Canis lupus familiaris: one gene and its partners. The main gene of each other region encodes a partner of the protein of the gene in region 3 in a complex. Links are inferred from orthologs where the notes say so. Each region holds a gene or a part of one and is shown on either strand. Other genes may lie near its edges. The genes, in order: POLR2H, UBTF, POLR1B, POLR1E and POLR1F.

The links.
Region 1: POLR1B (region 3) and POLR2H share a complex: the UniProt entries of both Homo sapiens proteins name them as parts of the pol I pre-initiation complex. The link is inferred for Canis lupus familiaris from reciprocal best matches to the Homo sapiens genes POLR1B and POLR2H.
Region 2: POLR1B (region 3) and UBTF share a complex: the UniProt entries of both Homo sapiens proteins name them as parts of the pol I pre-initiation complex. The link is inferred for Canis lupus familiaris from reciprocal best matches to the Homo sapiens genes POLR1B and UBTF.
Region 4: the proteins of POLR1B (region 3) and POLR1E are in contact, whole or in part, in a cryo-EM structure (PDB 8A43), measured with the Homo sapiens proteins. The link is inferred for Canis lupus familiaris from reciprocal best matches to the Homo sapiens genes POLR1B and POLR1E. Residues at the interface, in NP_061887.2 of Homo sapiens: Lys254, Ser258, Phe259, Ser260, Tyr262, Gln263, Gln266, Ser295, Thr296, Gln297, Ser338, Thr340, Glu341, Ala532, Cys535, Pro541, Ile542, Asp543, Gly544; in NP_071935.1 of Homo sapiens: Gln27, Ser29, Asn30, Gly31, Tyr69, Thr76, Leu79, Lys80, Cys81, Leu84, Cys85, Met109, Gln110, Pro111, Leu112, Phe113.
Region 5: POLR1B (region 3) and POLR1F share a complex: the UniProt entries of both Homo sapiens proteins name them as parts of the RNA polymerase I (Pol I) complex. The link is inferred for Canis lupus familiaris from reciprocal best matches to the Homo sapiens genes POLR1B and POLR1F.

What each region holds. Positions count from the first base shown.
Region 1 is NC_049255.1:17,408,722-17,412,815, reverse strand, and holds the start of POLR2H (DNA-directed RNA polymerases I, II, and III subunit RPABC3), read right to left. Parts: upstream 2,807-4,094; 5' UTR 2,645-2,806; coding exon 2,572-2,644; intron 1,206-2,571; coding exon 1,122-1,205; intron 1,039-1,121; coding exon 945-1,038; intron 1-944. UniProt on the Homo sapiens protein: DNA-dependent RNA polymerase catalyzes the transcription of DNA into RNA using the four ribonucleoside triphosphates as substrates.
Region 2 is NC_049230.1:19,054,972-19,058,483, forward strand, and holds part of UBTF (nucleolar transcription factor 1), read left to right. Parts: intron 1-376; 5' UTR 377-444; coding exon 445-502; intron 503-1,945; coding exon 1,946-2,121; intron 2,122-2,676; coding exon 2,677-2,760; intron 2,761-2,857; coding exon 2,858-3,013; intron 3,014-3,512. UniProt on the Homo sapiens protein: Recognizes the ribosomal RNA gene promoter and activates transcription mediated by RNA polymerase I (Pol I) through cooperative interactions with the transcription factor SL1/TIF-IB complex.
Region 3 is NC_049238.1:36,973,097-36,976,608, reverse strand, and holds part of POLR1B (DNA-directed RNA polymerase I subunit RPA2), read right to left. Parts: intron 1,488-3,512; coding exon 1,291-1,487; intron 920-1,290; exon of another isoform or gene 1-919. UniProt on the Homo sapiens protein: Catalytic core component of RNA polymerase I (Pol I), a DNA-dependent RNA polymerase which synthesizes ribosomal RNA precursors using the four ribonucleoside triphosphates as substrates.
Region 4 is NC_049232.1:54,125,681-54,129,755, forward strand, and holds the start of POLR1E (DNA-directed RNA polymerase I subunit RPA49), read left to right. Parts: upstream 1-1,269; 5' UTR 1,270-1,388; coding exon 1,389-1,464; intron 1,465-1,976; coding exon 1,977-2,080; intron 2,081-3,293; coding exon 3,294-3,370; intron 3,371-4,075. UniProt on the Homo sapiens protein: Component of RNA polymerase I (Pol I), a DNA-dependent RNA polymerase which synthesizes ribosomal RNA precursors using the four ribonucleoside triphosphates as substrates.
Region 5 is NC_049235.1:33,912,372-33,916,433, reverse strand, and holds the start of POLR1F (DNA-directed RNA polymerase I subunit RPA43), read left to right. Parts: upstream 1-1,255; 5' UTR 1,256-1,305; coding exon 1,306-1,547; intron 1,548-4,062. UniProt on the Homo sapiens protein: Component of RNA polymerase I (Pol I), a DNA-dependent RNA polymerase which synthesizes ribosomal RNA precursors using the four ribonucleoside triphosphates as substrates.

The DNA of each region.
Region 1 (4,094 bases), on a different chromosome or scaffold from region 3:
AACAGACGTTTTCCAAACACAATGCCATTTAGTCCTCCCAGCAACCATATGAGCAAGGTGTGATCATCTGCACTTTACTGATGGGGAAACTGAGGCTGCAAGAGGTTAAAGCCATTCAACAAAGAACTGATAGGGCTGAGATTTGAACTCAGTAGAGCTCCAAAGCCCTTCCATCACACCAAACTCTCTCCCAAGACGCAAGGCTCACATAGCCTGGGTCACTTGATGGTCATCTCCTTAGCCATCGATAAGGTACAACCCACAAGCATGTAATTGCTGCCCTGGAAAAACACCTGGTTGTTAGAATTTTTTTTTTTTAAGATTTTATTTATTTATTCATGAGAGAGAGAGGCAGAGACACAGGCAGAGGGAGAAGCAGGCCCCATGCAGGGAGCCCAACCCAGGACTCGATCCCAGGTCCCCAGGACCAAGCCCTGGGCTGAAGGCAGCGCTAAACCACTGAGCCATGAGTCATCCAGGCTACCTGGTTGTTTGAATTCTTTTTTTTTTTTTTTAAGATTTTATTTATTTATTTATTTATTTATTTATTTATTTATTTATTTATGAGAGACACAGAGAGAGAGAGAAAGAGAGAGAGAAAAAGAGGCAGAGACACAGGCAGAGGGAGAAGCGGAGGGAGAAGCAGGCTCCATGCAGGGAGCCCGACACGGGACTCAATCCCGGGACTCCAGGATCATGCCCTGGGCCGAAGGGACTCCAGGATCATGCCCTGGGCCGAAGGCAGGCGCTTAAACCGCTGAGCCACCTGGGGATCCCCATTGAATTCTTAAGTGCAGCAATTTCCTTAAGGTTGCTCAGATACTACTGATAATCATTTATTCCACAAATTAAATAAGGGTTTTTTCCTATACCACTTATCTACTTAGTCCTCAAGCGTATTTCAAGTACTCCTTTCCTGAGAGGGAAGTACTTCACTTCCTCACCTGGAAGGCCTATCATCTGTGGGGTTGTATTCACCGTCATCCAGGGTACCATCTTCATATAATGTACTGGCTATGACCAACCGGAACTTGTCACCTGAAAATCATGGCAATACCAGAGGCTAAAGAACAGCTGAAATGTCAAAAAGCCTTCTGCTATTGTCTGTGTTCAATACTTACCCAAGTCTACAGGGTAAATCTGAATGTTTACATCTAAGATCAGGTCCATTTTGAAAGATTCACTCTCACAATGTAGCCGAGACACTGGAGGGAGGTAGAGAAAGAGTGGCATAGGTAATTGCCAGGCTCTGCAGACCCTGCAGACCCCACTTTGGGGGATTACATGCAATTGAGCACTCATTCGAACCCCATCTGCATCCACTAGCCTCACGTCTGCTCTCAAAGAAGTGCAGACTCAATGAGAACCAGATATGCCAGAAGGAAAGGAGTGAAAACTATGGCAAGTGGACAGAATCCCAGAAAACAACCAAAGGTCCCTCTGGCAATAAATAATATCCAGGTTCTAGGCCTGCCTAGGTGATTAACAAACAACCTGACTTTAGACAAGTTATTCATTCATCCAAAGGTTTTGTCTTTTTTTTTTTTTTATAAAGATTTTATTTATTTATTCATGAGAGACACAGAGAGAGAGACAGAGACAAAGGCAGAGGGAGAAGCAGGCTCCCTGCAGGGAGCCCGACTCGGGACTCCAGGATCACGCCCTGGGCCAAAGGCAGGTGCTCAACCGCTGAGCCACCCAGGGATCCCCCCAAAGGTTTTGTCTCAGGGCGCCTGGGTGGCCCAGTTGTTTATCTGCCTTCAGTCCAGGTCGTGATCCGGGGTCCTGGGATGGAGCCCCGCATCCGGCTCCTTGTTCAAGCAGGGAGTCTGCTTGTCTCTCTTTCTCTCCCTGCCCCTCCTCCTCACTCATACGCTCTCACTCTGCTTTCTCTATCAAATAAATAAATCTTAAAAAAAAAAAAAAAAAAGTTTTGTCTTTCTGTGCCAGCTGCTGTGCTGAGTGGACTATCAGGACTGTTAAGACCTGGTGTTTGTCTTGAAGAACATCTCAGTCTCTGGACAAAAGAAGAGACCCCCAAGGAGGCCCAGTCTGATCAACGGCAGAATAAAGAGCTGTATGGCAAGCAGCAATCCTAATTCAGAGCGGATGTCACAAAGGGCTAGAGATTCTCAGGACAATACAAGAATACAGGCTCTGAAGTCGGACTAGTCACTGTGCAGCCTTGGGTAGCTTACTTAACTTCTCGGGGCAAAATGGGTAAGACACCAACTACTTCATGGAGGCTCCTGAGAGAACTGGGCAGGACGAAGTGTGTGTAAGGTGCACGCTACAGCGCCCAGCAGAGTGGGGAGCGACTGGAAGATGCACGGGGGTGCACCAGCACCATGAGAACGGGCCACCCAGGCACCGGGCCAGCCTGTGTGGAGCCAGGCGGAGTTCGGGAGACGCCGAGTTCCCATCGATCCAAGGTCTCCTGATGGGGATTCCTGAGTCAGGAACTGCCGGCAGGGGCGGGCCACGCGGCGTGGGTGGACCAGGGGCCCACAGGCGTGTCCCCGAGGAGGTTACCCCCTGACTCGGCCGCCCCTACGTCTACCTCCACCTTACCTCGGTCAAACTTCTTGCCCTCCGGGTCAATGTCTTTCACATCGAAAATATCCTCAAACAGGATGCCCGCCATGGTGAGGTGGCCACGAGAGTACGAGAGGGGCCGGGAGCGCGACCACGCCTAGGGGTACGCGCTCCCCCTCGCGTGGAGTAAAGGAGAGAAGGAGAGCGCGCGCCCAGAGAGCGGCCGCAGAGCCCTAGAAACACGCATGCGCGCGGGCAGGCAGCGCCGCCGCCACTTCCGCCGCCTGGGCCTCGGGGCTCGCGGACTTCCGCCCCGAACGACGCCTTCCGAGAGGCCTCGGGAGTGGGGGGCGGGACTCGGGGCCGGGTGGCTCCGCCCCGGGGCGGGGACCCGGTTAGTTCCACCTCCAGCCGAGGCGGCGCGGCGTCTCGCTGTACGCGGAGGCTCGGCTGCGCCCTCTTGAGAGGCCGGGTCGGGACGCCTGGAATGCGGGCGGGCCTACCCCAGCCCGGGACCTTGATCCTTGGCCCGGAGAAGCCCGGCGCAAACCTTCCCCTGCTGGTCTGCGTGCCCGCCGAGGGCACAGTCCACGCGGAGGGCGGACGGGGCGGAACTCCGCCCCCAGCGCGCTGACCCTGCGGGGCGCAGAGCCCAGTCCCCACAGCTGGCACCGAGGCTTCCTAGCCGGGCCCGGGCTGGACCGGGCTGGACCGGGCTGGACCGGCTTGGCCCTGCTGGATGTCACCCGAGCCGGCTCCGTCCCGTTTGGGAATTTGCCATGATGTCACTATGGGGAAGAGGAAAGCCTGCGCTCGTCCCTTCCCCTGGTACAGCACCCCCCTACCACTGCCCTCTTCCCCGGGGCCCCACTCTCTTCCACTCCGCCTCTTCAGCCCGGCTGACGGCTGGCGTTTAACCCCATCACACAGCGCTGCCCCTGCAGCTTGGTACTACCTGCCCCCCCCCCCCCGCCTTCTCCCTTGGACGCTGATCTACGTGCCCCTTCAGGCTGGCACCGTCCGCTCCCACGGATACGAGCCCCCCCTCCTCTTGGGTGCCGCTCCTCTCACACTGCCCCTTCCTGGGCACCGCCTCTGCCTCCCGCGGGCCCCTCCATCCTGGTACTGCGTCCTCCCGCACACTGCCCGTGTCCTGGGCACCCGCCTCTCCCCTAACACGCTCTCTCCTACATTGTCCATCCACCCTGTGCTCACCCCACCCTCTGCTCCATCCTTCTCCAGACCCTGAGAGAGAACACAGATCCCCAGGTGGCGGCGAGACGTCAGCAGCTACTCGAGTTTCTCCTTGGGCCCCGCCAGGGAAAAACGACCTCTGTACCCCCACGCCCGCCTTCCAGGAGCCTCCTCGCCAGCACCTAGACATCTCTCCCCTCGGGCCTCACCCCTTCACCTTTCCTCCCTGTCTCCACCCCGTACACCCCGCAGGCCAGGTTGCTCCAGGTGTGACTTCCTAGAAGAGGAACCCTGGAGAAGAGGAGGAGGGAAGAGGATGAGAGACACGGGAGGGTCTCAGTTCCGAGCATCACGTCCTCACCCCC
Region 2 (3,512 bases), on a different chromosome or scaffold from region 3:
CGCCCTTCCTCCTCCCCCGCCCTCCAGCCTGGGGCCTCCCCGGGGCGGGCGCACAGAGGAGGAGGAGATTTTTTTTTTTTTTTTTTTTTTTTTTTGGCCCGGGTGGGGGAAGGAGGGCGGAGGGCGGGCGCTCGCTGCACGCGGGAGCTGGGAGCAGTCTCTCGCGTGGGCAGGGGAGGGCGCACGCGGTGGAGCCGGGCTGCAGGGGCGCGGGGGGGCGCACTCCCACACCCACAGACCCTTTAGGTCTACTAGGGTCTTGGCAGGGTCTCCGTTAAAGTGCGGACTTGTGCCCCCCTCCCCCTTGGGGGAGGGAGGAATAGAAAGTCCCTCACCTCGCATCCCGCCTGAGTGGGGACTGGTGTCTCTTCTAAAGGGTGAGGTGGTTTTGACCGCGGGTTGCCCGGCCAGCACGACCCAAGGAGGAGGCTGGACGGCTAAAGAATGAACGGAGAAGCTGACTGCCCCACAGACCTGGAAATGGCCGCCCCCAAAGGCCAAGGTAGGAGCACTTTAACTTACGTCCTCTTTTCCCACATGGTTGTTTGCGGGACCCCCTCTCCTTCGAAAGGGGTTAGACAGTCCCTGTTCTCTGAATCGAGGTGAGGGGGGTATCTTCAGTTTTATGAGTCAAGTTTGGCTAAACCCAAGTTATTTGGCCTTGAGGCTATAAACTATATTTTCCACACTTCATTCTCCCACTTAGAGAGAGAGTCTTATGGGAGCCTTCATTCTGGGATTCCCATCTGGCCAGAGTTTGTCCTTTCCTCACCCAGAGTCCTGGAATGGGAGGAAGGATGAGCAATGGGGGGGAGGGGGAGAAGGGAGGGATTGGCAAGGCTTTTCAGGTGTTTTATTGTTATTCAGAGGACAAGGTTTTGGGTGAGGCAGGTGGAGACAGGATATTTTGGTGGTTTGAGGCTCCAAGCCATAGGAGGTCCATAACTAGATCCTACCCCATCCAGGAGAGATCCTGTGCCGATGGGGGCAGGGGGTTGGATGAAGCTGAGCATCTGGCCCTGACTGGGACGCTGAGAGGACTGAGGATTATTGGTCCATGTGACCCACCCTGTGGCAACCTTGACCCTGGTTACCAGATGCAAATGCAAATGAAGAGCCCTTTTGACTCCTAGTCCTGGTTGTTCTCCTAACTTACCTTCCAGGGTAGCCACCCTCCAGAGAGGCCTGCTGAGGCTAGTTCAGTGGCTGGAAATAGCTGGTTCAGACCCCCCCTCCCCCTTTTTTTTGCCTCCATGGGGAGTTGGACCCAGAAGACAACTCAGAATTCTGGGGGTTCTCCCTGGAGCCAGGGCCCTGAGAACCTTTGCTCGTCTGCTTGTCTTGCCTCTCAGCTGCCCTGTATGGTTCTTCCATTTCCATTCCATTTTTCTTACTTGCCCAAAATTGCCCATGTCTCCAGTGTTAGTTTCCAGCTGTGCCAGAGAGAAATGTCTGCATGGGTTCTCCTTACTGCCCACACTCCATCCTCAGCCCTTGCACATCCATGGTATCCACCTAGAACTTAAACTTGGCAACACATTTCAACTTGGTCTGCCTCCCTGCTTCCCTCCCCTCTCCTAGTAAGTTAGCTGTTTTCCCACCAGGTCCCAAATCACTGTAGCTTCATTTCTTTCTCTTCCCTGCAATAAATAGTAGTCTGTGGCAACCTGGCATGTTAGAAATGACCATAGTTTTGAAGTAAACCAGACTTGATTTCAAGTCTGGCTTTCTAGGTATGATGCTCTCTGGTCTGGAATACCCGCTCCAATCCACATGGTCACAGTTTTCTCTTGTGACTAGGTCATGTCTTGTCTTTGCCTTCACATCAGAGATCCCCAGGGATTTGGGATGCCCAGGGAAAGAAGGATTGAGCACTTAAGGACTGGGGAACAGATGGGGGGGAAGCATGAGCTGGGCATGATGTGCCTTTCTTGCCCCTCCCCAGACCGCTGGTCCCAGGAAGACATGCTGACTTTGCTGGAATGCATGAAGAACAACCTTCCATCCAATGACAGCTCCAAGTTCAAAACAACCGAGTCACATATGGATTGGGAAAAAGTAGCATTTAAAGACTTTTCTGGAGACATGTGCAAGCTCAAATGGGTGGAGATTTCTAATGAGGTAACTGATCCCCTCCCCCTTCTGCTGCCCCCTTCCTGACGCGTCTACGTGAACCCCTGCCTCAACCTTCCTGGTGGGGGAGAGGAAACAGAAGTCAATAAACAGGAAGGAAAGAGACCAGGCGAGGTGCTTATGTGGTCGCCCTTGTGCATTGGGGAGGTGGCACGGTTGATAGCACTGGCCTAGAGCTCTCAGTTCTGCCGCTTCCTAGCTGTGTGGCCTTGAATACTTACATCTGGGATCTTCTCTCGCCTGAGCTGTTCTGGGGATTGAATGAGGTGCTGGCATGGACAACACATCGAGGTCAGGTGGTCACCTTGTTGTCGTCCTTTGGTGTGTACGGACTGTCTGGTCCTGTGCCATAGGAGTGGGCCAGTGCCCAGGTGTTGTCTGGGTGTCAGGGGCTGAGTTGTGGCTGTTGGCTCCTGCCCCTCCTCGTCTGATAAATTCAGTGTAGTGGAAAGTAGAGGAGACCTGTTGGGAAAGGGGGTAGGCTCTAGGGTGGTGTTTTCCTCTCCTGAACTTCCTCTTGCACTCACCTCCTTTCTTCTCCAGGTGAGGAAGTTCCGAACATTGACAGAATTGATCCTTGATGCTCAGGAACATGTTAAAAATCCTTACAAAGGCAAAAAACTCAAGGTGAGTTTCCAGGAGGAGGAGTATGATGTGTAAGAGAGGAATGGTCCAAAGAACAGATACTGTCTGACCTTCACCGTGTCCTTGACCCTCCTTCCAGAAACACCCGGACTTCCCAAAGAAGCCCCTGACCCCTTATTTCCGCTTCTTCATGGAGAAGCGAGCCAAGTATGCGAAACTCCACCCTGAGATGAGCAACCTGGACCTGACCAAGATTCTGTCCAAGAAATACAAGGAGCTGCCGGAGAAGAAGAAGGTGGGGGGAGGGGGGCAAAGTAGGGAGGACGGGAAGGGCAGGGAGCAGCTGGTGCAGTGTAGGTCAGCTCAGGCATAGAGGGACATCAGGGATGGGGTTGGGTAAGCAGAGCAGAGTGCAGGGTCCTGGGCAGCCACACTCGGTCCCCTCCTCCCACTCCCATACACTATCAAGTGCAGGCATGGTCGAAGGTGTGACCCGGACTGAAGCAGATGCTCGGACCAGCCCTTTCCCCCCACAGACAGTCCAAGTGTTGCCTCATCCAGCTTTACCTCTATGGTCGCATTCTCACTGTTAGGCTGGCACAGCAGCTCATCCTTGGACAGTTTTCACTGTGGTCTCACTTGGTGCGTGCAGTATCCTCATAAAGGGAACCCCCAGAGAAGGGGTTATTCCGGTTGTGTGGGCAAGGAACTGGGGCCCAGGAGGGACTCGCGTCCTGGGTCACACAACTAGCAACAGCAGAACAGCACTTGGGTGCTCTTCTCACCGCCATGTC
Region 3 (3,512 bases):
CCATTTCAGCCATTCCCTTCAAAATCCTGGCATGTGGAGGACAGGGTCACTTCTTGGTAGCTTTTGCCTGGGCTGCCAAATCTGCCTCTTTGTGGGCAGCCAAGAATGTGGCTTGCTCCTTGTGGTAAGCTGCCAGCTCTTCTGAATGGAGGTCCTTCACCACACGAATGCCCAGGGAATGGGCAGAGCCAATGATGGAGTGAACCACAGAGGACAGAGTGAACCACATCCTGCAGGGCGAAGGCCTCATCCTGAGCTTTAATTTGGGCGATTTCATACACATGCTTCAAGGTCACCAGGCTGGCCACCTCCTTCCCTGTCTGCCAGGCCCCCTTCTCAATCCCAGCAGCTGCTTTCAGGAAGTAGGAAACAGTGGGCTGTCCAATTTGATTTCAAATGTCCTATTAGGCTTCACAAAAATCTTGTGGGCAAAGGAATGCCTTCTTTGATGTCTTTTGTCTTCTTGTTGAACTCCTTGCACAGAACTGGTTGATGGAAACACCTCTCTGACCCAGGATGGGACCTAATGGAGGCCCAGATGTGGCCTGGCCTGCCCGCATGATGGTCCGGATCATGCCTCTGGCCTCGGGCTTCCTGAGGGCCTGAGTCGCTCGGTTCAGCATCGACATGATGTGGGGTTGCCAGCCTCAATTCACTTCAGGGTTACAGAAAGAGTGATGGCCACAGGTGTCACCATCCTGGGACAGTGGTCAAGCGTCTTCACCATAAATAAATAAAATCTTAAAAAAAAAAAAAAAAAAAAAACCTCCAAATTTTCCAAGCTTTCTATACTATTAAAACCCACTGATAGGGGCGCCTGGGTGGCTCAGTGGTTGAGTGGTTGAGCCGTTGGCTCAGGTCATGGTCCCAGGGTCCTAGGATCGATTCCTTTCATCAGGCTCCCTGCGGGGAGCCTGCTTCTCCCTCTGCCCATGTCTCTGCCTCTCTCTGTGTGTTTCTCATGAATAAATTCATAAATAAATCTTTTTTTAAAAATAAAAAACAAAACCCACTTATAAAGGGCTTAAAGCCTAATCATGCATAATGAATATAAAAGGTAGATATATCCAAAACTACATTCATTCAACATCTACTCATACTATGCACTCAAATATGCACAATATATGCATATCTGAATATTTAGTGAATATTCCTCAGGGCTTACCACTTTCAATGGAGACTAGGAACTAATCATTTAACAGAATACTCATGTGCAGGGATACAGAAAAACAGTAAATGAAAAAGTTAAAAATTAAAAGGAATGGAACTACATCTCTTAGTAGAACTTACCATGGCATCTTCCATATCATACCCAGTGTAAGAAATAACAGCAACGATGGCATTTGTCCCAATTGGATAGTTATCCATGTCATAATAATCATACATGTATGGTCTCACTAAAGGGCTTTGTGGGGTCTGAAGACGATACAGTTTATTATCTGATCGGGCTTGGTAGGTGAGAAGTGGAAAGCCCATAGTTTGCTTCCCTACAAAGGGAAAAAAAAAAAAAAAAAACCAAGCCTGTAGCATCTTCTTTTTTTCCCCTTGATTATAAAGGTCATATATAAAATTGGAAACAATAAAATATACATCACAGAGCAATGAATAAATCAATACACAGCATGAAAATGAAGCAGAATCACATGTATCTATGTAATCAGACCATGAAAACAATGCTGAGTGGGGAAAAAAAAAGCACAGAATGTCATTTAATGTATGATTTATGTACATTTGTAACACATCCCAGACAATTCTATACCTAGTTTATGGGGACATGTATATTATGTAAAAAAAGCATAAAAAAGGAGATTATAAAGGATATCTATATCTATATATATAAACAAACTACAGGGTATTACTAGTGGAAGAGAAGGGGTGAAAAGGGGACAGTAACTATTATCGAATTAGATTATTTTCTTACACAGCAAAATGCCAGTGTTTGTTAATTCTGGGTGTGGGGTACAGAGGGTAGGGAAGTAAGACTTCTTTGTACTACATTATAGAGTATCGATTTGAAACAATGTTAAGACTAAATATATATATGCATACATACATAGCGGAATTTTAAAAGACAGAAAAGGAGACTTCCAGTTTCCAGTAATAAAATGCTGCTCCTACAAGACCACTCTCAGCACATAAAATCCAGAACAATATAAAACAGAAAATCACCACTTATGCACACACAGACACACACACACAAAATCTGAACCCACTGGAAAATAACCAAGAGCTAACAGGTACTAGAGACGAATTTACACTTGAACAAAAGAAATGGAACAGAGTGAAAATACTAGCTTTTTTAGTTTTTAATGTTTTGCCTGATGGTCCAGTCAGTATAGTGGCTACAACTTAGAGACCTACAGTCTTGCTGGCTTGAAGAACCAAGGAGTAGAGTTCAGAACACAAGAGCAACTCAAATGTAAGAGGGGATATTTTAGAAAGGAAGGAACAGTAAAGAGCCTGAAATTCTGCATATAAACCGAGTCAAATCTTCGGTGGACTGAACTATGCATGCATGGGACAGATCTGAGCAGCCCACCTCAGGCCAGAAGAACATACTTCAACTGCTCTGTTCCACTACCTAACAGTTAAAGATAAGACCAATCCTCTTCAGAGGAACATAATAGAACCCATAGTCTTTTTTTCCTTTTCCCCTAAGGATTTTATTTATTTGAAAGAGAGCATGCACACAACAGAGACAGAACACGAGCAGGGCAGAGGGGTAGGGGGAGAGGGAGAAGCAGATTCCCCTCTAAGCAGGGAGCCCAATGTGAGGTTCCATTCCAGGACCCTGAGATATGACCCAAGCCAAAGACAGATGCTTAACCAACTGAGCCACCCACGTGCCCCTGATGATATCTTTTAAAACAGATTAAAAAAAAAAACAAGAACAGATTTTAGAATATCAGTAAACTGCAAGCACAAAGATCATATCTAGACATATCATACTTAATCAGCTACAAACCAGATATAAAGAGAAAATCTTAAGGATGGGAAAATAACACATTATATACAATCAATCACTGACTTCTAGACACCAAGAAGAGACCGTGTAACATCTCTTAAGTGCTAAAAAAAAAAAAAAAAAAAAGTAACTGTCAAATCAGAATCATACATCCAGTTCCAAGTAAAGATGAAATAGAGACATTTTTGGAGAAATAAAACCTAAGAGGATTTGTAGCCAGCCACCTACTATAAAAAATGTTATAGGAAGGTTTTTTAGGCTCAAGGGATGCAACACTCAACGGAAACCTGAATCATTAGGTAGGCAGAGCACCAGAAGTGATAAGATGTGGGTGACTACAAGGGCTTGTGTTCTTCAAAATCAAATTACAAGATCTCAGACAAACCAAATCAATAAACATTCTACAAAATAAACTATATTTTTGTTAAACAATGTTAAAATCAAAAATGACAAAGGCTAAGGATCTAATTTAAAAGACTAAGAGGGGATCCCTGGGTGGCTCAGCGGTTTGGCGCCTGCCTTTGGCCCAGGGCGCAATCCTGGAGTC
Region 4 (4,075 bases), on a different chromosome or scaffold from region 3:
GGGAGGAAGGAAAATCAGAATAAACTCTGTGGTGCTGAATTGGAATTAGAAGTCACTATGATCTCATGGTTTTCAATATATATGGATCTAGAAATTCTAAGTTTTAGAAACTTACTGTTAGTTGTGAAAGTGTGTTTACTTACATATAATCCCTAAGTCAGTTCATTCAGGCCTGGGAGCTGTGACATCCCCCAAGCAGTCCATACCTACTACAGAGATCTTAGTTTCTGAATACTGTTTCCTACCAAAAGAAACCAGAACTCCTTGGAGAAATGGGTGATTCCAGGGCTGGGGCAGGGAAACTACATGACAAATTGAAATATCTTGTGCCAGAAAGTAAGGACACGTTCAAAAAAATGATGTGGACATGTAAAAAGAACCCAGAAACCAACTTAACGGGGTTTCCACTGGCCCGATCTGATAAAACTAGAACTTGAAAATAGGTGATAGTAGATTCTAATCTATTGAATAAAATAGGAATCTACAAGTCCAGACTGATATAAATAAATGAATAAATTGGTAGTGCGATGAACAGGAAATTAGTTTCTCAATACCCACTCACAAAATAAGAGTCAGGTACAAAGGGAAATTACAAAGCAAAGAGAGTAATTTTACAGCAGGGAAACCTCTAACTGGTTGAAGTGGTCAAAGTTATCAGTAATCGGACAAAGAGAAATTGTGGGCCACCTAATAGGATACAGTGAGCATCGTATCCGTGATAGCCCTGCCAAAGGCGCACGCATAACCTGAAACTAGTCATTTGGAAACATTAGACAAATCCAGATTGAGGGACATTCTACAGAACAACTGGCCTGTAATCTTTAAAATTTGCAGGAACTGCAAATGAGGAACTGTTCTGGGTTGAAGGAAACTAAAGACCGTTGAGTAAATGCAACCTGTGTTTTCGGACAGGTTCTTTCTGCTGTAAACACTTTACTGGGACAATTGGTGACGTACTTTGTTGAGACTCGAAGGCGACCTGGGTAACAGATGAGGCCACCTGAGTTCTTGCCCTCAAAGATACCTGCCTTTGAATCCACGCTCAAAGGGTCCGGCTTTGGCCCTTCCGCTCTGCTAAGTCGCCTGATCCCCCACAACCCTCAACGCGTAGGCGAGCGCGGCGCCCCCGGGAGGCCAGCGGGGCAGAGGCCTGGGGCCCCCAGGGTTGGCAGAGAGAGTCCCCGCCTCTCCATGCGGCGGGGCGGGGCGAAGAGTGGGCGGGGGAGCGCGGCGGGGGCGGGGCCGCGCCGTGTGCGCACGCGCGGGGCGGGGCGGGGCCGAGGAGGCCACGCCTCTTCCGCCCCGCGGTTCTGCCGCCGCGTGTGGACCGCTAAGGCGCTCCGGGCCGAGTCTATCCGGGTCCTTAGCCTTGGCGGCCGGACCGGGAGATGGCGGCGGAGGTGTTGCCGAGTGCGCGGTGGCTATACTGTGGGCAGCCCGACGAGAGCCAGAGAGCCGTACTGGGTAAAGACCGCGGAGCCGGAGCCGAGTCCCGCACAGCTCCCTCCGCTCCCGTCTGGGTGCTTCTGCAGCCCTCCTGCCCCTGCCGGACCCCTTTCCCGGCTGGGCCAAGACGCCCTCTAGCCTCCGGCACTGCTTGGGACTTGGTCACCCCCCATCTCTCTGTCACCACCTGGATGGGGACATCCCAGGCAGCCTCCTCCTCAGGGCTCTCCCAGTCACCCCGTCACGCACTCACACCTGCCCCGTATCCTTTTCTCCACGGTCTGGGCTAGGCTTCAGCTGTTTAACCCTGGTCATCTCCTTCCGTCGCGGCCCTTCGCCAGCACTGCCCTCACCTCCCGGTCTCCTCTTCCCGACCGGCAGGGACCTCCTTCAGGCCCCCCTTCAGGCCTGGGCTTCCTTACCACTCCCATGCCTTCAGACGCTCTCTCCCAACGAACAGTCCGGTTCCTCCCCACCATACACACTGTGGGTCCTTCTACTCATCTCATTTTTGCGCTGCAATCTTACAGTGCAGTTCTCCAACGGGAAGCTGCAGAATCCAGGCAACGTGCGTTTTACTTTGTACAAGAGCAATGACTCCACAAACCCCAGGAAGAGGAGTCAGCGGATTCTGGTAAGTGCTGCGGGGGCCAGCTGCCTCCACTCTGCAGATTTCTGAAGGTCTTGGAGGCGCTTGGGTGTGGGTGGATGTGGGAGGGAGGGAGAGGAGAAAAGAGATAGCAAATGAGCCTTGGGAGAACCGTGAGTCCCAGCAGGTTGGGGTGTGGGGACAGGCTCCATTCATTCAGTTATGTACTTTTGGTGAAGTGATGACCTTTCATTGATCTATTCATTCAGCAAGCTTTTATTGAGCACCCACCGTGGCTGTGCTGTAAGCTGCACGGGAAATAGCGAAATGGGACTTGGCTCCACCCTGGGGGAGCTCCTACTCTAGAGCAGGGTTGCTCAGTCTTGGCACTATTGACATTTTGATCCAGATAATTCTGTGTTGTGGGCCAGACCTGTGCATTGCGGGATGTTCAGCTTCCCTGGTCTCTAACCACTAGATACCAGTAGCACCTCCTCTTTGTGACACCCAGAATTCCCAGAGGTGTCCCTCACGCCCCCTCACCCCCCCCCAACCAAGGGTGATTTGCTGGGTGAGAACAACTGCTTTCGAAAGGTGAGAACTGGTTTTGAGTTCAGTAACTCACACAAGCCTGCAAGCTCTGAGCCTGGAACGAGTTCATTTGAGCTCAGGAAGTCTCTGCTTGTCAGAAGGCCTTCCTGGGGGAGGACACATAGCAGCTAAGCTCTGAAGACTGGAGGACGGTTTGACAGCTGAGGTTCCCTATTCCAAGTGAAAAGGAGAGCAGGGACAAACATAGGGAAGCAGGAAAGCTTGGCTGTGATTGAGGAGTGAATTAGCTGTCTCCATAGTCCTGCCAGCATATAAGCAGCAGCCATGGGAGAGATGGACAAAGAAGTTCAGGAAGGCTTGGACTTTGGGCCCAGGAGGTTGCTGGCAGAACCATTTTGTTGCATGCCTCTAAGTGCTAGCCCAGGAGCTCTCTCCCAAGTCCTGTGGTATAGCTCCCCTGAGCACTTTTCAGACCAGCTAGAAGCCAGCACTATATGGGGCTTCCCTTTCAAAAGTCCTCTTGCCTTTCTCCCAGAGACACCCAGATTCACTTGGAGAGTGGGGCTGGATCACCTCCCAGAGGCTCTCTAGTTCTGATCCACTGTGGTTTGGATTCTAAAGCTTTTGCAAATGTGGGAAAGGGAGACAATATGCTTGATACCTCTCAACATTGGTTGTGGTGGTGCTTTTTCACTTTACATTTTAGGCAGCTGAAACAGACAGACTTTCCTACGTGGGAAACAATTTCGGGACTGGAGCCCTCAAATGCAACACTTTGTGCAGGTAGGGGTTGGGGAAGGGACAACAAGGGGAGGATAGTGGTGGTGAGCCTGGCACTGTTGTTTTCGGTCTTTATTTTAGGAGTCGGGGGCAAATCTGGAGAGGTTTACCATGTCCTTGGGTTCCCAGATCCAGGGGCCTTCACAACCAACATGCCTAAAAAGAAAAAATAAGTTAACATTTGTTGGATTTCCTAAAATCTCATTCATTTGTAATTTTCTTTAAGATAATTTTTAGGGGTGCTTGGCTGGCTCAGTCATTGGAGCTTGGGACTCTTAGTCTTGAGGCTGTGAGTTTGAGCCCCACTTTGGGAGTAAAGATTACTTTAAAAAGTCTTAAATAATAATTTTTTAACTGCGATATAACTTTACACTAGTTTTAGGTATATAATATAATGATTAGATATTTGTATATGTTGCAAAATGGTCACCACAATAAGCAGTCATCCAGGGGTGCCTGGGTGGCTCAGTTGATTAAGCCTCTGCTTTTGGCTCAGGTCATGATCCCTGCTTCCTGGGATCAAGCCCCATGTTGGGCTCCCTGCTCAGCAAGGAGTCTGCTTCTCCCTCCTCCTGCTCTCACTCTTTCTCTCCCTCTCAAATAAAATCTTAAAAAAAAAAAAAAAAAAAAAAGTCATCCACTGCCACACATATTACAATTTTTTTCTTGTAATTAGAACTTTTAAGATTTGCTCTCAGCAACTTTTTT
Region 5 (4,062 bases), on a different chromosome or scaffold from region 3:
AAAGTGGGGATTGTGATAAATGGGACTCCGGGGCTGGCAGCAGATCCCTATATGGTCTTGTAAGTACCTTAGCCATATTAAGGAGTCTGTGTTACCCTGAGAAACCTGGGGCGCCCATGGGAACAAGTCATGGTTCTATTTGTGTTTGGGAGAAGGGGCTCCCGGGGGTCCTCTTGACCATCAGGACTAAGCTTCCACAGGCACTTCTGCGGTTTGGGAAGTGAGGACAGACAGAAGTATCCCCAATAGGCCGATGTTTCCGCCGTGGACCCCACAAGCCGTGGGGCCGACTCGATATTTGAGGGTACAAGAGAGGCTCCTAGGGGACCAGCTGAGCTGAGCCCTTTGGAAAGTGGTAAGATCTCTTGAGTTAGTTGTTACAGGCTGAGCAGAGAGTCCAGACGGGAGAGAGAGATGATGGGTTGATTTTCAGATGTCTCGCAGTTGAGGCATCTGGGCTGCATTTTAGGACTGGATTCCCTGCAGAAAATACATGCCCTAAAATTTTAAAGTTTATTATTTGTATTGTCCACGCTGGCAAAATTTACCAGACCACGTTATTACTGGAAACTATCAAAGTGCGAACCCCTATTAAGTCTACATATTAAATCCAAAAAAGAGGGGATCCCTGGGTGGTGCAGCGGTTTAGTGCCTGCCTTTGGCCCAGGGCACGATCCTGGAGACCCGGGATCGAATCCCACATCAGGCTCCTGGTGCATGGAGCCTGCTTCTCCCTCTGCCTGTGTCTCTGCCTCTCTCTCTCTCTCTCTCTCTCTCTCTCTCTCTCTCTCTCTGTAACTATCATAAATAAAAAAATTAAAAAAAAAAAAACAAAAAAAAAAAAAACAAAAAAGACGTTACGGGGAATCCCCTGGGTGGCTCAGCGGTTTGGCGCCGCCTTCAGCCCAGGGCGTGACCCTGGAGACCTGGGATCGAGACCCGCGTCGGGCTCCCTGCGAGGAGCCTGCTTCTCCCTCTGCCTGTGTCTCTCATGAATAAATAAATAAATAAAATATTAAAAAAAAAAAAAAGGACGTTAGCGGACGGTTTGGCTGCCCCGAGGAGAGGAGGTGGTGGCCGGGCCTGCAGCACGCTCCGGACTTGAGCCGCGGCTCTCCGCTCCCGCCGCCGTCCCGCAGGCGGAAAAGCGGCTGCCCTCTGCTGGTCACAAGCGCGTAACGCGACTCAAGGAGAGCAATTTCCTAGGGGCGGGCCGGCGGGTGGATGACGTGGAACCCGGGCGCCCGCAGGAGGCGGCGGCGCGTGCGTCAGCCGTGGGCGCCGCGGGAAAGCTGGCCGAAGCGCATGGCTGCGGGTTGCTGCGAGTCTCCGCCGCCTAAGGCGGCCTCTGAGGGGCCGGCCGGCGTGTTGCCTTGCCTAGAGCTTCCGACCTACGCGGCGGCTTGTGCGCTGGTGAGTAGCCGTTACTCCTGCCTGGTGGCGGGGCCGCACCGAAGACACATCGCGCTTTCGCCGCGCTACCTTCACCGGAAACGCACGGGTATCCGGGAACAGCTGGACGCGGAGCTGCTGCGCTATTCCGAAAGGTACCGGCCCCTCGGGCCCTTCCTGCGTGCGCCGGCGCACGGGCGGGGGTAGCGACGAGGTAGCAGAAGAGGCGTGAGGGGGCAGGAACGCCCTGGCCACCTGGACGCCCTCGGGACTCTTCTTCGGGCCCGGAAGGCCGGTACCTGCCTAGTCGGTCCATGTAACAGGCAGGAAGGGGGACGGGCTAGAGGAGCTTGCTCTATGGCGTTCAGGGGGAAGAATAGAGCAGGGGCCTAGAAACCCCGTCGGCCCGGGTGCCCCCGCCCCTCCCCCCGCAGAGGGAGAAGCAGGCTCCACGCGGGGAGCGCGACGTGGGGCTCGATCCCGGGACTCCAGGGTCACGCCCCGGGCTGCGGGCGGCGCTAGACCGCTGGGCCACACGGGCTGCCCGAGAGATACTTCTGCTGGGTTCTCTTGCTTGGGACCTGATCAGGGACGAGAAAAGTACTGTGTTTTTATTTATTTATTTATTCATTCATTCATTCATTCATTCATTCATGATAGAGAGGCAGAGGGAGAAGCAGGCTCCATGCAGGGAGCCCGACACGGGACTCGATCCGGGGACCCCAGGATCACGCTCTGGGCTGAAGGCAGGCGCTAAACCGCTGAACCACCCAGGGATGCCCCCTTTGTTTTGTTTTTAAGAGCAGTTTAATTAATCTAACTGGCCATTCTGTTGGGCTTGGGGGTGAAAAACCTTTGTGGTTCGTTTAATGTGTTCAGAAGAAACGGAGTTACAAGAACGGAGGGTCAAAGGAAGGGGGCATGTGTACTTTAATATTGCAATAGGGCTGCTTTGCCTCAAAAGCAAAGGTTCCGGAGCTGGGACAAGTGGAATTCCTGGGGATTCCTTACTGCACTTCAGAAATTTCATGACATCCTCCCCCCACCCCCACCCCCCTCCTCGGGAAATTTGCTGTCCGTGTTCTAGGTCAAAGTATCCAAAGTGTTCCCTTTCTCCAGGGATCCTGAACAGGTTAAGAAGCAAGCAAGTCTAGGATGTACGGCTCATTCCAAGCACCAGCACCCTTGTGTGGTGGCTGTTTTATGTACTAGGGACTTAGGATTTAAAAACAAAGAAAAAACAAGATCCCTGTTTCAAGAAACTGTAAGCTCTAGTAAAGATATAAATGTCAGATAAATCGAATGAAATGTTAAAATTTGACAGAGGTCTAAAGTTATATTAAGAGAAAGAGTAGTGAATTTGATATTAGGACCTCTGAGATGGTAGTATTCAAGGCATAAAAAGTGTAACGTAAACGGATAGTAGATAAAAATAGACTGCTTTGGTCAGAGAATTGTAAGTACTATATAATTGGAGTAAGATTTATGTTAAGAGGAAAGAAAGTGTGTGCAGTTGAAGAGAGCAGAGGCAGCGTGGGGGATCACTCAGGATGTACATTTTGCTCTTTCCTTCTTATCTACTAGGTTTTTTTTTCCTCTTTGCTTAAGCAGGCTTGGCGCTTGGTCCTCCTAGTGCCCTCCAGTTCTGAAATTTGGTGCACTCTGGAGAGAGTAGTGCATATCCGATCTCTGGGACATGATCAGATACACAGTTGAAGAAGAAACCACGCTTGATAGCATTAGCTGATGGCTTGAGTGAGGCTGTAGACATGGAGACCAATTAAGAGATTGTTACAACTGTCCAAGAGAAAATGACTAGAGAGTATGGAATTGAGAGTTATTAAGGATATAAAAGTGGTCATAAAATCTGGAAAGAGGCATTGTTTGATATACTTACTACTTTCTGGAACCAATCAGTGCTTCCACTTGACAGGCTAGGAGGAAGCCACCTGAAGTGTCCCAAGTCCGAGCCATTACCCCAGAGATATAAGGAACCCATGGACAGTGTGGCCTTATGGAGCAGGTTGCGCTCTGAACAAATGAGGACTGCCCACCACACCCTCCCCTCCCCCACCCCCCAGTACCACTCTGGGTAGTGGGCTACCCCAGTGTGATAAAGACTCGGACTTAGGGCAAATAAAGCAGCACACATTGAACTATACATTTCTAATTAGGGACGAAACCTTGAACTGTAATGTCAATCATTTATCGTGTATAGGTAGATTTACAGACTTTGGCGCCATCAGGAGGAATCAGGAAGACTTGTTTCACTTTGTTTGAGAAATGAGGAAAACCAGAGTGTTGGGAAGTGGAGGAGGGACAATAAAGTATCCCCCAAACTGAGAAGGCACTTTGAGATTTGAAAATGAAGTAGGTGACTCCATACATTTTACACACCCTTCGATTCTGGGTAATTTACTGACATAGGGGACTGGACATGTGATTATCCTGCAGCTGCACAGCTATTCTCCACAAAGTTTGGGCCTTAGTTCACATTTACAGAGTACAAAGGGGTGTGCAGAAGGCATTTTGGTTAGGTCAGAGGTCTAACACTTAACAGACTTTCTGGTGCCACGTGTGCTCCAGAAGAGGGGGAGGAAAGTGTGTTACCTATAGTAGTTATCTAAACAACTTTAGGGAAAATCAGAACAACTTGTATTCTGGTCAGGG